4 linked regions of the Macaca fascicularis genome follow. The protein of the gene in region 1 purifies or fractionates together with the protein of each later gene. This does not show direct contact. Links are inferred from orthologs where the notes say so. Each region holds a gene or a part of one and is shown in the gene's direction. Other genes may lie near its edges. The genes, in order: ADNP, CBX3, ZNF644 and CBX1.

Region 1 (4,425 bases):
TGTATATGACTGTTATTTCAGCTCCAAATGGAGAAAATCTTAGAGAAATGACCTCCATGAGCAAACGCATGGAGGGCACACACTTATCTGGAGAAAGGGACATTATGGAATTTCCAAGGTTATTAGGAATGTCAGAAATAGGCATATGAAGAGCATTATAATCTTTACACTGAAAAGATGTAGAATGTTCTGAGTTAACGTGAACATAGATTCCTGGCCAGGCATGGTGGTGCACACCTGTAATCCCAGCACTTTGGGAGGCCAAAGCCAGCAGATCGCTTGAGCTCAGGAGTTCAGGACAAGCTTGGGCAACGTGGCAAAACCCCATCTCTACCAAAAAACAAAAACAAAAATATAGCCAGGCGTGGTAGTGTGCACCTGTAGTCCCAGCTGCCTGGTGGGGCTGAGGTGGGAAGATGACTTGTGCCCAGGAGGTTGAGGCTGCAATGAGCTGTGATTGCACCACTACACTCCAGCCTGGATGAAAAGTGGAACTCTGGCCAGGCGCAGTGGCTCACACCTGTAATCTCAGCACTTTGGGAGGCTGAGGCAGGTGGATCACCTGAGGTCAGGAATTTGAGACCAGACTGGGCAACATGGTGAAACCCCGTCTGTACTAAAAATACAAAAATTAGTGTGATGTGGTGACACGCACCTGTAATCCCAGCTACTCAGGAGGCTGAGGAGGAGAATTGCTTGAACCCGGGGGGCAGAAGTTGCAGTGAGCTGAGATTGTGCATTGTACTCCAGTCTGGGCAACAGGCAAAACTCTGTCTCAAAAAAGGCCGGGCGTGGTGGCTCACACCTGCAATCCTAGCACTTTGGGAGGCTGAGTTGGACATATCACGAGGTCAGGAGATCGAGACCATCCTGGCTAACACAGTGAAACCTTGTCTCTACTAAAAATACAAAAAATTAGCCAGGCATGGTGGTGGGCGCCTGCAGTCCCAGCAACTGGGGAGGCTGAGGCAGGAGAATGGCATGAACCCGGGAGGCAGAGGTTGCAGTGAGCCGAGATCCCGCCACGGCACTCCAGCCTGTGCGACAGAGCGAGACTCCGTCTCAAAAAAAAAAAAAAAAAATACAGATTCCTCTTAGTTACTAAGCCTACAGCAAAATAACATTTTTTTGGTACAGCATTTCCCAGTAAGCAGTGTCACTGCTTTATTTATAAACCTTTTAAATTCAAAATAGATAAGTAAACCCAACACCAACTCTGTGGCTGAAATACCGCTTTTTATAAATTACAAGTTTCTTACAACTAAGTTCCCTTATGGGCATACTCACTTTTTCAGAAAAAAATACCTACCAGGCAGTGAGATGCTTCATCTTAATGTCTTAAACCAACTTTTTAAGCTGTGGGTAGGCACTTAGGAGAATGGGTTTTTCTTTCCCCCAAGCTACCGCTTGATTCTTCTTAATGTTTTCTGTAGACTAATGACCCCAGTGGTGGCTACATTTCCAAATCTTTCTGTCTTTGTTTTTCTAAGATTGTTGAGCCACTGATCCAGGAGGCAGGGAAACCATTAATGTCTGGCTTCTGGACACATCTCTTATGAAGTGTGAAGCAGAGTTGACTCAGGAAGTTCCCAAAGAACTGAATTTTGGCCCAAAGAGAGTTTATGAAATGAATAGAGAAACAAGACGTCTCCTCCCAGTCTTAGGTATCTGTGGGCATCCATTTTAATGCCTGGTTTCTTCAGAATTAGCCTGTGACACTTTTCTGTATTTCTGAAATATTTTTCTAGCATGTGCTTCTCTCTAAAAGACCTGATTTGTAGTAACTGTGTTTGTTTTTTGTTTGTTTTTGAGACGAAATCTCACTCTGTCACCAGGCTGGAGTGCAGTGGTGTGATCTTGGCTCACTGCAACCTCCGTCTCCCAGGTTCAAGCGATTCTCCTGCCTCAGCCTCCTGGGACTACAGGCAGGTGCCACTATGCCTAGCTAATTTTTTGTATTTTTAGTAGAGATGGGGTTTCACCATGTTGGCCAGGCTGTTCTTGATCTCTTGACCCCTTGTAATCTGCTCGCCTCAGCCTCCCAAAGTGTTGGGATTACAGGTGTGGGCCACCGCGCCCAGCGTGTAGTAATCGTTTTAAAGGAAGCAAGTGATAAAGAATTTGCTGATTTTAAGCCACCACAAAAAAGATGGTTTAAAATAATTTAGCAATACAATTTAGACGAAAAATAATTGATTTGGTCTTAATTTATATCAGAAGTGACTTCTAAGTCTGTAGTTGGCTTCACAATAGTCAGATTATTAGCAGAGCAGAGAGGGCAGGGGACATCACAGTCATTGCTTCATAGTGAGCAGCAATTCTATCTTGAGTATGATAAGGCTGAGAAGGTTTTTTCAAAATACTTTTCATTTTTGGCCCCAGTTATTCTTTGGTACTTTATATAGAATATTTTGAGACTTCTAAGTTAGAGTAACATACCCAGTTTGAAAATTTCTAGGGGTTACTGTTTGATTTTGGTAGATTTCACGCTCTCCTTTTATTTCCCATTTTTTGTAGTTAACGTTGATTTTGGATTAGAGTAATAAATGAGGCAACATTTTATTACATTTGGATTAGTTGACTTGCCATTTACAGATGATATTAGTATTACAGAGTAACAGCCTTTATTAATTAGAAAACTGGATTTGCATATATTAAATTTTAATTCCTGGTGCTTTGCCTTTTGTTTTTGCTATTTTGGGTTTTAGAACTTGACATCCTGTGAAATTGTGTTACATTTGGATTATTGATAAATTTTTACCATATTATGGAAAGCATTTATGATCTCATTAGAAACCATACATATTCTCAGTTGCCCAAGTTTTACTGATTTTATTTTCTCATTAAAGACAAACTTTTGTTTTAAGGAACTTGGGAAAGTTGGTCTATCTAATTTAATGTATGAGGTCATTAAAATAATTTTTCAGTTCCCTCACATACATACAGGCTTTTCATTTTTTCAAAAGGATCCTCCTTAAAGTCTGTAACAGTTAACATTTGTGAGTGCCTTTGCCCAGGTATGTTGCCCAGGTATGTTGCCCAGGTATGTTGCAGGAGTGGGGGCATGTGTTGGTCGAGTCATATATCATTACTGTCTTTAGTTTGGGAAGTATACAGAAACTTAAGGTTTTTAGTTTTTGTTTGTTTGGTTTTTTTTAAGAATACCATAGCAGTAGGCAGGACAGTTCCAATTCAACAAAAACCTCTTTACCCTGGCACTCAAAACTGTATAATGATGATGAACTGGTAAACATTTTTCTGTTTTCAGATGTTCAACATCAAAAGGAGAAAAGAACACTTGATTTAAAAATAATTGATTGCTATTGTTTCTCTAATTTTCAACTTGAAGTTCATTGCTGAACTGTTTTTTTAAAGTCTTATCAGAATTACGCCAGATTAGACTCATAGTCAAAATGTCCTATTAAAAACTGGGAAGATCAGAGAGTACTTATTTTGCCTGCCTGCTTTAAGTATTCAAAGTATAGTAGATACGTGCCTGGCTCAGTGGCTCACACCTGTAATCCCAGCACTTTGGGATGCCAAGGCGGGAGGATGGCTTGAGTCCAGGAGTTTGTGACCAGCCTGGGCAACATAGTGAGACCTAGTCTCTACAAAAAAATAATTTTTTTAATTAGTTGGGCGTAGTGGCGCACTCCTGGAGTCCCATCCTCTTGGGAAGCTTAGGCGAGAGGATCACTTGAGCCCAGAAGGTTGAGACTGTGGTGAACCGTGAGTGCACTGCAGTCATGAACCATGAGTGCACTGCACTGCACTCCAGCCTGCGTGACAGAGCAAGACTCTGTCTTAAAAAAAGGATGGATGGATGGATCATGGATGGATGGATGGATAAGTCGAGCCATATGCACATGCAAGCGTGTGTGTCTGTGTGTGTACACACTAGATGAGGATACCTGTGCACCTTTTTTGTCAGATGGGTAGGGTTTATGATCCTGTCATCAGTGGAATTAGTGAATATTACAAGTTGTACGTGTTTTGACTTTGACTTAAATTTTTTTTTCCAATAGAAACTATGTTCCAACTTCCTGTCAACAATCTTGGCAGTTTAAGAAAAGCCCGGAAAACTGTGAAAAAAATACTTAGTGACATTGGGTTGGAATACTGTAAAGAACATATAGAAGTAAGTAGCATGTCATTTTTAAATTTTAACATGACTCAGCTTCTGATCCATTACTTTGTGTCAGTGGCCATGATGGCTAAATCTTAGATGTGATTCTGAATTTCAGCCACAGCAGTAGCTCACGAAAGCATTCTCAACAGCGTAACTTGTGCCTTTCTCCCTAAAATGGGCTTTTTCATTTTTGCATCCTGAAGCAAAAGGCTACCATTGAGGACTTAAGCATGTCAGGCATTGAACTAGGTGTCGTAAAGTTGTCTATACGTTTAATCCTTAGAACAACCATGGAG
Region 2 (3,856 bases), on another chromosome or scaffold:
TTTACTTCTTTATTTTGTTAGCCTTCTCCCTTTGTGGCAGTAGCTGTTTTGTTTTTCATGTAGTATAGGTATCTAATACACTTCTGTCTCTTCCAATTTGTTTTTGCTTCTCCCACTATTATTTCTACCTTCTTGTACTGTACAATGACAGAAATCTGTTTGGGCCCAGTACTCAAGTATCTTGACTAATGAGAATCATAAGACCTGACTTGGAAATGGTATCCGAGAAAGTCAGGTGTTTGCTGCATTTTTTTGTATTCCAGGGGAGTGTGTGTGTGTGTGTGTGTGTGTGTGTGTGTGTGTGTGTGTTACCTATATGCTTGCTTGCATAGCTTGAAATGTCATTTTGCAGTCTTGAGGCCTTTCTTACATGTGTGTCTGCGCACTTCATATGCCTGCATAGCTTGAAATGTCCTTTTGTAGCCTTGAGGTGTTGCTGTTAACTTTTTTCTGCTTGCTGCTTTACTTGTGGGATGGCTTTAGTGACTGGGCAATTAAGGTTTATCTTTTTTTGATAGTATTTGGGTTTTTTGGTTTTGTGGGGGGGTTTTTTTGAGACAGTTTTTCTCTTGTCCAGGCTAGAGTGCAATGGCGTGATCTTGGCTCATCGCAACCTCGGCCTCCCGGGTTCAAGCGATTCTCCTGCCTCAGCCTCCCAAGTAGCTGGGATTACAGGCATGCATCACCATGCCTGGCTACTTTTTTATTTTTAGTAGAGACAGCGTTTCTCCATGTTGGTCAGGCTGGTCTCAAACTCCTGACATCAGGTGATCTGCCCACCTCAGCCTCCCAAAGTGCTGGCATTACAGGCATGAGCCACCACGCCTGGCAGTAGCATTTGTTTTAAGATGAAATGTTAAGGTGGATTTCTTCTCTGCCCATAGGATCTTCTGATTAACCATTTCGGGGTTTTTCCCCCGCATTTTTAATCTCATAAAAATTTTCCCCATTTTTAATCCTCTCATAGCAAATCTTGAGCTATTGAAGAGAGCTGATTGAGGTTGGTTTCCTGCTTCTCTTAAATAGTGTCATACAAAAAAATGCCTGTTTAAAGTGAAGTTGGCTACCAATATAGACTTTGTCTTGAGAAACCAGGAAGGAAGGATTTTTTTCACCTTAGAGAATTAAAATCTCCCCTTTTGTCCTCTTGAAGTGACAGCTTTATAGGTTCTAAGTGGTAGGAAATATTATCTACAGAGATGGAAAAATAATCTTGTCCTTTAACCTCCTAGTGGTCTCCATAGTTGACCTTGCAGTTGGTATCAGGATTGTGAACCACGTGTTCATTCTGCGCTTACCTTTTATTTGTATTATTGAAGCTTTTGACATTAGTATTTGAATTGAGAAGGAGGCTCTTAGGTCTGTCGTTGGTTCACCTAAGACCTGTCACTACTATTTTCTTCTCTGTATCACCCTGTAAGTACTTCCTGCATAGTTGCTGTGTTGTTAAAATGAGTGAAAACTCTAGTAAACTTGGTCTTTTAAGACTACAGGGCCGGGCGCAGTGGCTTACGCCTGTAATCCCAGCACTTTGGGAGGCAAAATCACTTGAAGTCAGGAGTTTGAGACCAGCCTGGTCAACATGGTGAAACCCCGTTTCTAATAAAAATACAAAAAAAATTAGCCCGGCATGGTGGCATGTGCCTGTAATCCCAGCTACTTGGGAGGCTGAGGCTTGATAATTGCTTGAACCTAGGGAGGCAGAGGTTGCAGTGAGCCGAGATCACGCCATTGCACTCCAGCCTGGGCAACAGAGTGAGAGACCCTGTCTCAAAAAAAAAAAGACTGGAAAAAAAGTAATTTTTCCAGATAGTGTTTTTGATTGTATTATTTTGGTGGTGGGTCATAAGTTTGAGCTAAATCAACAAAATAAAGCATTCTTTTATTTTATTGTCTGTTGACTTTTAATCTTTCCCTGTCTGCCCTGGGATGTGGAAGTAAAAAGTAAAAATTTATGTTGAATGTAATAATAATGTAAGCAATTGAGCCTTGAAAATGTACCCAAAATTCAAGAAGAATATTTCTTAATTTCTCATTTGTTTTATTTTAGCAAAAAATGGGGAAAAAACAGAATGGAAAGAGTAAAAAAGTTGAAGAGGCAGAGCCTGAAGAATTTGTGGTGGAAAAAGTACTAGATCGACGTGTAGTGAATGGGAAAGTGGAGTATTTCCTGAAGTGGAAGGGATTTACAGAGTAAGAAACTTTAGTGCATCTGTATTGTATGTTTGACTGCAGCTAAGTGGTTTTAGAATTTGTTTTTAACCTGACTCTTTTACCTGCTTTCCCATAGATGTCTTTAAATGTAAAGACACCTTGAATTTAGGTATCTTATTTGAAGTCTATTTAAAAAGAACCAAAACTTTATTGTACAGTTGAAGCTGAGCAGACTAGAGACTAGTTTATTACCCTGGGGAGTCAAATTTGTAAAATTATAGAGTGTAGTTTACTATATAATGTATTTTAATGTGGTTAGATATTATACTGATTATAACAATCTGCATTGTTTTCCTCCACACAGAGGGTACTAAAAAACATTGAAGCTATATAGTATAGACTAGTGGGTCTCATACAGGATTACCTATAATCTAGGCTTTATACTAAGTTTATTATGTCCTAATACCTAAGAAGTAGAGCCTGGGCTTGTTTTAAGCTCTCTGGTTCCTTGTGTTCTTTGATACGGATTCTTGATAATTTTCACAAAATGTGAATAACTTGAACATGCAGCAATTACATACTTTAACACTTGGTGTTTGTTGTGCTTATCTGCTTTGATTCTTCCCTGTTACACCACAAAGCTCCATAGGCAGTGACAATTAAAAATGGATAGGTGGAGATCAATTTCCTGAGCTTGCTGGAGATAGAGCATATGGTAGTCAAATGATTGGGCTTCACATATCTGTTATCTCGTGCTTTCCCTGCTCTTCACATTTAATTCATAGCAGTTTGGGAAATATGAGTTGAATGGGAGATTTACGTTTTCCTGTTTTATCCTCCAGTGTTTTTAGTTGAAATTAAGTATGTATCATAAGTCCATACTTTATTAAGCCCATGAAACATGAAAAATTATTTTTACCCAGCAAAACTTTAGGAAATGAATGGGCTCCTCCCTTTTTCTTCTCCCAAAACTTAAGGCCACTAGCAAAATTATACTGCATTTGGCCATGTGCAGTGTAATAAGTAATGTAAAAGACTCTTTTCTTTTTTTTTTTAGACGGAGTCTCGCCCTGTTGCCCAGGCTGGAGTGCAGTGGCGTGATCTCAGCTCACTGCAACCTCTGTCTCCCGAGTTCAAGCAATTTTCCTGCCTCAGCCTCCCGAGTAGCTGGGACTACAGGCATTTGCCACTATGCCCAGCTAATTTTTGTATTTTAGCAGAGACAGGGTTTCACCATGTTGGCCAGGCTGATCCCAAACTCCTGACCTCAAGGGATCCACCTGCTTTGACCTCCCAAAGTTCTGGGATTACAGGTGTGAGCCACCACACCCAGCCAAGAAGACTTTAATGAAAATAATATTACAGAGCAGAGACTTTTATTGTTCTCTACCCAGTAATTTGGATTTACTAATTTAGAGTCTCAAATTAGAATGTAGGGCCTGGGTGCAGTGGCTCACACCTGCAATTCCAGCACTTTGAGGGTCCAAGGCTGGAGGATCACTTGAAACCAGGAATTCAAGACCAGCCTGGCCAACAAAATGAGACCCTTTCTCTATTTAAAAAAAAAAAAAAAAAGAAGTGTGTGTTTTAAGTTAGCTGGGCATGGTGTTGCATACCTGCAGTCCCAGCTACTTGGGCTAAGGCAGAGGATTGCCTGAGCCGGGAGTTGGAATCTTCAGTGAGCTATGATTCCACCACTGTA
Region 3 (3,856 bases), on another chromosome or scaffold:
AGCTGTTGGGTTTTCCACTGCGTAGGTAAAACAAAAAAGACTCTTAAAGCTAAATGGTTTGGTGTCTTTGTGATTAACCCAAAGAAACATCTCCGTCTCCAATTCCTCATTGTATTGCGGGATAGTTTGGTTTTGGAGAACAGGTGTGAACATAAAACATATTTGTTTGGGGTTTTAGGTTTTAAGATGGTGCTGTAATGGAACAGAACAGATGATTTAGCTTAGTGCTTGTGCACCAATAGTTTTTCCTTTTGAAAGGAATATTTTGTATGTATTGGCAAATAATGTGGCAGATAAAGTAGCCAAACTTTATTCAGTATTGCCAAGTCTGGTTTATACTTTTAGACTAGAAAAATTTTAAGTGTCTTTTCTAGATTTCTTTTTGAAGGTTAATAATGTTGAAGGTTTATGTAAATGGTCTCATGATTAGAGCTGTAAGTTGAATGTGTCGGAGGTAATAGTTAATGGATTAATAACAAGTAACGTTACTGTAAAGTAATGTTGTTTATTTGCTTTGGGGCAAACATTGTGATATCCCAAATAGTTGTAATGCAATTTTGATTTAAGGAAAGATGACTTTGTGTTGTAAGTGGTCTGGAAAACAATTTATCTTGTATGAGCTTCTGTTTAATATGGCTTTTTCTTTCTAATAAAGAGTCTCTGAAAGTCAATAGCTTTCAATATTTTTTCAGAAGGATAAGATGTGTTAGCTGTGTTGAACAAGGGGTAGTATACTTCAGAGATGGAAAATGTATTTGTGGCTATCACAGTAATGCTGAAGAAACCGATTGAAATGTGTTGGGGGAGTGAGGATTGTCTGAGAAGTTAGGAGTTTCTTATTGTTTGAACATGTTTTTTCTGTGATGACTAAGATGTTAGCTTGTTGATCATTTATTTAGCACAAAGATTTTAGCAAAAAACTTTAAATCATTGACTTTCATTATTGATTGCGCATTCAGAGTAATGAACATAAAATACCCTGAATAAAATGTTGTGTCTAACAGCTGTTCAGTGGTGTGTTTTACCACCTTTTCTCCCAGCCTTCATCAGAAAGCCTAATTTAGTACTGAGACTTTTACGGTTTTGTGGGTAAAACACTTTAATTACCACTTTGTCAACTAGACTTTTAAATTCTTTTTATTGGTAATGTTGTAAGCTTTGAAACTTCTCAACAGAACCGTGGTGTTCAAATCACAGGATTGTATATTAGTAGGTTTAAGAAATAATCTGCGTAACACAGAAATCTGCAAGAAAGTGATAATAGGTGTTATATCCAGAGGAGCTCAAAGGTTCAAGTCACTCCTCTTCTACCTTTCCAAAGAGCATGAGTTGGCTCTAAACACTAACTACAAACTAATAATAGTTAACTTAATTTCCCCTCCTTATTTTAAGTTAACCTATTTCATTGAACGTTTTGAAAACCATCTTTATTGTGGTGCTTTTCTACACTCTTTAAGCTAAGAAAATTTCACTTTTTGAAGTGAGAACTGGATTATAGTTTTCTTTTGAATGATAGGTATGCCTGTGAAGCTTAGAACATGTGTGCATTGCAATACGACGTTTACAAGTGCTGTTAGCCTGTCCAACCACTTACGCGCTTATGCACGAAAGAAGAGTGCTGGACTTTTGACTGGTACAGGTATGTTTGAACAGATATCACAGCAAGTCTGTTTGATACAATACACTTTTTTTTTTTCCCACCAGACTGGTGTTAATTCAGATCATATTTATAGCTTTCTTTAGTAAGCTGCAGTTGAGTCTGAATACACATTAAATTTCAGCAGCTTGTAAACTGTTAGATATAATTCTAAGCTAGTTAATCTTTTTCTTTTGGCTCTTATTGACTTAATTTGGGGAAAAAACATTAACCCAAGAGGTGTGGAACTTTTGAGTCTACCTTAATCCCATTTCTTTTTTAGAATACTATTTTTGATTTTTAAATTTATTTTAGATTCCAGTAAAACACCTCTCTTTATAGTTCTAGTCAGGCACAGTGGTGTGCCCCTATAGTCCCAGCTACTCATGAGGCTGGCAGGAGGATCACTTGAGCTCAAGAGTTAGAGGCTATAATGTGCAATGATTGTGCCTGTGAATAGTCACTGCACTCCAGCCTGGGCAACATAGCATAAAAATATTGTAGTTCTAGCTTGGGGAAATCCTTTTAGCAAAGGAAATTATAGGGATATTTCAAAATGTAGACTTGGTTAGTAAACTAAGCAAACTAATGAATTTTCATTAGTCTATAGATTAGATCTTTGAAGGGGTGAGCCTTAATAATGGCTTGTGTTGACAAGTGAATAGATTTTTCTTTTAATACTTCTTAAATATATTAAGGATTAATAAACTTAGCTATGCACATAAGTGTTAACATGCACATTTCTGTGTTATTTTTGGTTGGTTAGCCTAACCTTGCAGATACCTCTTAATACTGCTCATCTGTGAAAATTTGATTAGCTTACTTCTATGTAATATGCTTCTTATAACCTACAAGATGCTTTGCACTTTTCATTTGTAGTCTTTTAAGCTACCCTGCTTCAGCAAATCTCATTTCCTTCACATCTTAAAATATACCCTCTTTTTGACATAGATCTACATAAATTCTTTTGCCTAAAATTCTTTCCAATCTTTTTATTTCTCTTGCTCTTTTTTAGATCACTGCCTCCTGCTTTCTTCTAGTTGTTTGCCCAGCTTTTTTGTTCTTCCTTGTGTCCTATAACTTACATCCAATATGTTCTTGCTTTCAAAAAGCCACTTATATTTATACTAGTGTCTTCTGCTTCTTTGCATTCTTCCTTAACTTGATATACAAATGACCAGGGATGAATGTTGACGGTTTATATTAAAAAGAGAGGAGCGGGGTGAGTTTTAGTCTACTGGATTAGGCCTCCTACTCTGAGATTATAATTTTTATATACCTTTATCACCTTTATCAGGCTTGGCAAGTGATTGCAGACATTAGAGGTGGGGGACAATGAAAATAAGAGACTGTACAAGTGGGAAATCATTAGTTACCATACTTGCTAACCTTTATTGAACATTTACTATGTGTCAGGCACTATGCCATGCAATTTACATGTATAACATTTAATCTTCACAACAACCATACAAGTTGTAGGTACTGGAATTCTCTTCCATTTTATAGGAAACTAGGACTTAGAGAACTTAATTTGCTCAAACTTATACAGTTAATAAGTAGCAAGGTTGTAATTCAGATCAGGGCTATCTTACCTAATCTTTGTTTTTAATCACTGTTTTCTACCTTATACAGGCGGCCTATTTTTGAATTTCTTATTTTTAAAATAAGAAATTGAAATAAAAATAAGCAATTGAAAATTCTAAAACGAAGGTGGGTGGGTTTGTTTGTTTGTTTGTTTATTTATTTATTTAGAGATGGAGTCTCGCTCTGTCACCCAGGCTGGAGTGCAGTGGCGCGATCTTGGCTCACTGCAACCTCCACCTCCCTGGTTCAAGCAATGCCCCTGCCTCAGCCTCCCTAGTAGCTGGGATTACAGGTTCATGCCATCATGCCCAGCTAATTTTTTTGTATTTTTAGTAGAGATGGGGTTTCACCATGTTGGACAGGCTGGTCTCGAACTCCTGACCTCAGGCAGTCTGCCGGCCTCAGCCTCCCAAAGTGCTGGGATTACAGGCGTGAGACACCGCACCCGGCCTGAAGGTGGATTTAAAATGGGGAGTACTCTGGTGAAGATTGAATACATAAGAGTCTAATTAAAAAGAGCAGAGATCCAAGAAGTGCTTAGGCCTAGATTAGACTTTGGAGGACTTAGTGTTCCATTCTGATTATTCAAGCAGATTATGCAGATATCCAATAAGGCAAGATATCTCCAGTCCAGAT
Region 4 (4,365 bases), on another chromosome or scaffold:
ACACCACTGCACTCCAGCCTGGGCAACAGAGCGAGACCCTATCTCAAAAACAAACAAACAAACACTGGAACAAATACAAAAACCTAGACACCAAGTAGTAATTTCTAGCAACCACTATTCTTCATTAGATTCCTCCCCACAGATACCACTCCTCAAAAGAAAAAGCTCAGTTCTGCCTCTGGAGAAGAAGCAGAAAGTTCCTAACTTTAGTTCTATAATCTGGGAGATGGATCTGTACGTCATCCAAATAAGGCTAGAGTCAGTGACCATGGCTAATTACATAACTCGGTGTTAACTACATTTCCTGGGCCCTTTCAACCACATCTGAAGTTTCCTTCACTTTCTTCACCTGTACCAGCACCAGTAGCGCTGGTGAGTACCCAATTGTTTGCTGTTTACAAAGTAGATTCATCGTAAAGCTTCTAATATAGTAACAATACAAGGCTTTAGTCTCACCATTTATTTTCTCTCCCATTTAAACAACTTCAAGAGACAGGTTAAGAAAAAAATCAGGTGATTAAAGTAGATGGAACTACTGAGACTACCGTCCCTTCTTACTCAATCTTGAGCCCTTAGTGCCAGATGGCAGATAGCAATTCAAAAAGCTCTCCCTCCAATTATAAATATCACACGTACTAGATAGAGGAAGCTCCCAGTTCTGACCAAGCTTTGTATGATCTCAACCAAGCAGTTATGCTCCATCTTTTTGTCCATCTCTAACCTACTCCTTTCACTTGGAAGGTAATTAACAACGGCGACCACAATCTACCGCAAGTCTCCCGTGTCCACGTAAAATACTCGCCATTGCCCCCAGTCTTAGCCGTTTAAGTAAATGTCCCCAGTCTTTTACTACGATCACTCCTCCTCCATTCGCAACAAACTAGGACCGAAAGGTCCACATGATCCTTCTTCCTTTCCGATTAAGCCTGGGGAGTAGGAAGTGAAAGATATACTTTGAAGGTAAACTGAAAAGTCGGTTTTTGGATCCCCAGCAAGCCCTTGCCTTAATGCCGGGTGGTAAGAGAGTCCCTCCCTAGGATGTAAAGCGATGCCACCATCCCGAGTGCCACTACTGACGCTCAAGCCCACGCCCCCTCACCTGAGCGCAGCCCCTACTCCCCGGGGCCCCGCCCACGCACTCTCACCTGAGAACAGCACCAGCTCCCCACAGCGACACCGCCCGCGCCCCACCATATAGCCAGATCACGGCTTCTCCTTCCGGGTGAGTCGCCGGTGCCCCAGTGCACGACGGGAGACGCCCTAACCCCGGCTGCCCAGGACGCCCCGCCTTTACAGGCCCGGGCTCTGAGTGGGATTCCCGCTTCCGAACGGCGCAGTTCCGCTTGCCAAGGCCCGGGACTGGAGTCGGGATCCCCCCTCCACTCACTTGGGACGCTAGAGAGTGGACGCAGGTGCGGGGTGAGGGACGGCGAATGGGCTCGGATATCCAATCCGGGGCCGCGTTCCGCCCACTGTCAGGGGAAGCCAATCAGCGGCCAGGGGGCGTCCGCAACGGTCAGCCAGTGGGTCACGAGAGCAGAGGGGTGTGAGGGGGTTGTTACTCTTGTTCCCTTAATGCGAGGTACCGTCTGCAGTGTGGGAGGTTCGGGGCTTTAGGAAGCCCACATCCCTGGATCCTCACTAAGTCTCGAGAGTCACCATTGGAACCTCGTAGTTTGTTGTTCCCCAGCGGAGCTATCGAGGGGACTCCGATTCCGATTCGTAAAGCCACTGACCGATTGTCAGAGTGAAAGCCAGACTCGAGAGGGTCCGGCGACTCAGATGGCTCACACCAAAACAAACTCGAAGCAGCATCATGCAGCTAGGGAGCAAGAGAAAACCGTTCAATGTGTTGAAGACTTTTGCGATGGTCTTTTAACAACTTATTTAAAGATAATTTCAGCAAGTCTAGCGCGGTGGCTCACGCCTGTAATCCCAACACTTATTAGAGAGGCCGAGGCGGGAGGATCGTTTGAGGCTAGTCTTGAGACACGCCCTACCAATTTAGGGAGACTCTCGTCTCTGCAAAAAAAAATTTAAAAATTAGCCAGGCGTGGTGGCATGTGCCTGTAGTCCCAGCTACTAGGGAGGCTGAGGCAGGAGGAAGGCTTGAACCAGGGGTTCGAGGCTGCAGGGAGCCCTGATCTCTGCAGAGCAAGACCCTGTCTGAAAAAAAGAAAAACAGCTAAAAGGAAGAAAAGAAAGGGGCCGAGCACGGTGTCTCACGCCTGTAATCCCACCGCTTTGGGAGCTGGAGGCGGGTGGATTACCTGAGGTCAAGAGTTCGAGACCAGCCTGGCCAACACGGTGAAACCCTGTCTCTACTAAAACTACAAAAATTAGCTGGGCATAGTCATGGGCACCTGTAATCCCAGCTATTCAGGAGACTGACGCAGGGGGATTGCTTGAACCCAGGAGTTGGAGGTTGCAGTGAGCCAAGATTGCGCCATTACACTCCAGCCTGGGAGACTCCATTGTAAAAAAATAAAAATAAAAAAAAATTGGGCCGGGCGCGGTGGCTCAAGCCTGTAATCCCAGCACTTTGGGAGGCCGAGACGGGCGGATCACGAGGTCAGGAGATCAAGACCATCCTGGCTAACACGGTGAAACCCCGTCTCTACTAAAAAATACAAAAAACTAGCCGGGCGAGGTGGCGGGCGCCTGTAGTCCCAGCTACTCGGGAGGCTGAGGCAGGAGAATGGCGTGAACCCGGGAGGCGGAGCTTGCAGTGAGCCGAGATCCGGCCACTGCACTCCAGCCTGGGCGACAGAGCAAGACTCCGTCTCAAAAAAAAAAAAAAAAAAAAAAAAAAAAAATTAAGGAAGATAGCTGGATTCTCATATGTGCTTCCCCTTTCTCTGTTGTGCTCTGTTGTTTTGGTACATTAAGAAAATTCAGCCTTAAATAGATATGTAGTTGAGAAAAGGAAGAGTATATTTAGCCTTCTCAAACAATTTTGAATATTCTTCTTTGATACTACCCAAATTCAACAAATGGTAACTTTTCTTTGTTTTTTTTTTTTTTTTTTTTTTTTGAGACGGAGTCTCGCGCTGTGTCACCCAGGCTGGAGTGCAGTGGCGCGATCTCGGCTCACTGCAAGCTCCGCCTCCCAGGTTCACGCCATTCTCCTGCCTCAGCCTCCGAGTAGCTGGGACTACAGGCGCCCGCCACCACGCCCGGCTAGTTTTTTGTATTTTTAGTAGAGACGGGGTTTCACCATGTTAGCCAGGATGGTCTCGATCTCCTGACCTCGTGATCCACCCGCCTCGGCCTCCCAAAGTGCTGGGATTACAGGCTTGAGCCACCGCGCCCGGCCTTCTTTGTTTTTTTGAGACAGGTTCCTGCTCTGTTGCCCAGACTGGAGTGCAGTGGCAGGATCACAGCTTACTGCAGGCTCAACCTCCAGGGCTCAAGTCATCCTCCCACCTCAGCCGTTGGAGCTGCTGGGACCACAGGTGTGTGCCACCATACTCGGTTAATTTTTTTAATTTTTATACAGATAGAGGCTCCCTATGTTGCCGAGACTGGAAGTGTTTATTTATTTATTTATTTATTTTTTAAGTACACACCACCTTGGAGATGGAGTCATTTCTTAAAGGTTAAGTGGGCCGGGCGCAGTGGCTCACGCCTGTAATCCCAGCACTTTGGGAGGCCGAGACGGGCGGATCACGAGGTCAGGAGATCGAGACCATCCTGGCTAACACGGTGAAACCCCGTCTCTACTAAAAATACAAAATTTTTGTATTTTTACAAAATTTTTAAAAATACAAAATTTTTGTATTTTTGTATTAGTCTCTACTAAAAATACAAAAAACTAGCCGGGCGAGGTGGCGGGCGCCTGTAGTCCCAGCTACTTGGGAGGCTGAGGCAGGAGAATGGCGGGAACCCGGGAGGCGGAGCTTGCAGTGAGCTGAGATCCGGCCACTCACTCCAGCCTGGGCTACCAAGCGAGACTCCGTCTCAAAAAAAAAAAAAGGTTAAGTGCAGGCCAGGCGTGGTGGCTCACACCTATAATCCCAGCACTTTGGGAGGCCGAGGCGGGTGGATCACAAGGTCAGGAGATCGAGACCATCCTGGCTAACACGGTGAAACCCTGTCTCTACTAAAAATACAAAAAATTAGCCGGGCGTGGTGGCGGGCCCCTGTAGTCCCAGCTACTCGGGAGGCTGAGGCAGGAGAGGCAGGAGAATAGTGTGAACCCAGGAGGTGGAGCTTGCAGTGAGCCGAGATCACGCCACTGCACTCCAGTCTGGGAGACACTGCGAGACTCCATCTCAAAAAAAAAAAAAAAAAAAGGTTAAGTGCAATAGGGAGTCTGAAGCCATTTTAAAAATACTGGTACAGAATTATGCAGATCAGTCAATG

What was found.
Region 2: the proteins of ADNP (region 1) and CBX3 purify together in Homo sapiens (affinity purification with mass spectrometry; 7 studies listed by BioGRID and IntAct, with this or other methods). This does not show direct contact. The link is inferred for Macaca fascicularis from reciprocal best matches to the Homo sapiens genes ADNP and CBX3.
Region 3: the proteins of ADNP (region 1) and ZNF644 purify together in Homo sapiens (affinity purification with mass spectrometry; 3 studies listed by BioGRID and IntAct, with this or other methods). This does not show direct contact. The link is inferred for Macaca fascicularis from reciprocal best matches to the Homo sapiens genes ADNP and ZNF644.
Region 4: the proteins of ADNP (region 1) and CBX1 purify together in Homo sapiens (affinity purification with mass spectrometry; 6 studies listed by BioGRID and IntAct, with this or other methods). This does not show direct contact. The link is inferred for Macaca fascicularis from reciprocal best matches to the Homo sapiens genes ADNP and CBX1.

What each region holds. Positions count from the first base shown.
Region 1 is NC_088384.1:107,005,652-107,010,076, reverse strand, and holds the start of ADNP (activity-dependent neuroprotector homeobox protein), read left to right. Parts: upstream 1-1,382; 5' UTR 1,383-1,555; coding exon 1,556-1,664; intron 1,665-1,812; exon of another isoform or gene 1,813-1,925; intron 1,926-4,025; coding exon 4,026-4,138; intron 4,139-4,425.
Region 2 is NC_088377.1:104,099,055-104,102,910, reverse strand, and holds part of CBX3 (chromobox protein homolog 3), read left to right. Parts: intron 1-2,050; coding exon 2,051-2,193; intron 2,194-3,856.
Region 3 is NC_088375.1:143,769,976-143,773,831, forward strand, and holds part of ZNF644 (zinc finger protein 644), read left to right. Parts: intron 1-1,516; coding exon 1,517-1,639; intron 1,640-3,856.
Region 4 is NC_088390.1:58,617,597-58,621,961, forward strand, and holds the start of CBX1 (chromobox protein homolog 1), read left to right. Parts: upstream 1-1,240; 5' UTR 1,241-1,412; exon of another isoform or gene 1,413-1,454; intron 1,455-3,337; 5' UTR 3,338-3,455; intron 3,456-4,365. UniProt on the Homo sapiens protein: Component of heterochromatin. Recognizes and binds histone H3 tails methylated at 'Lys-9', leading to epigenetic repression. Interaction with lamin B receptor (LBR) can contribute to the association of the heterochromatin with the inner nuclear membrane.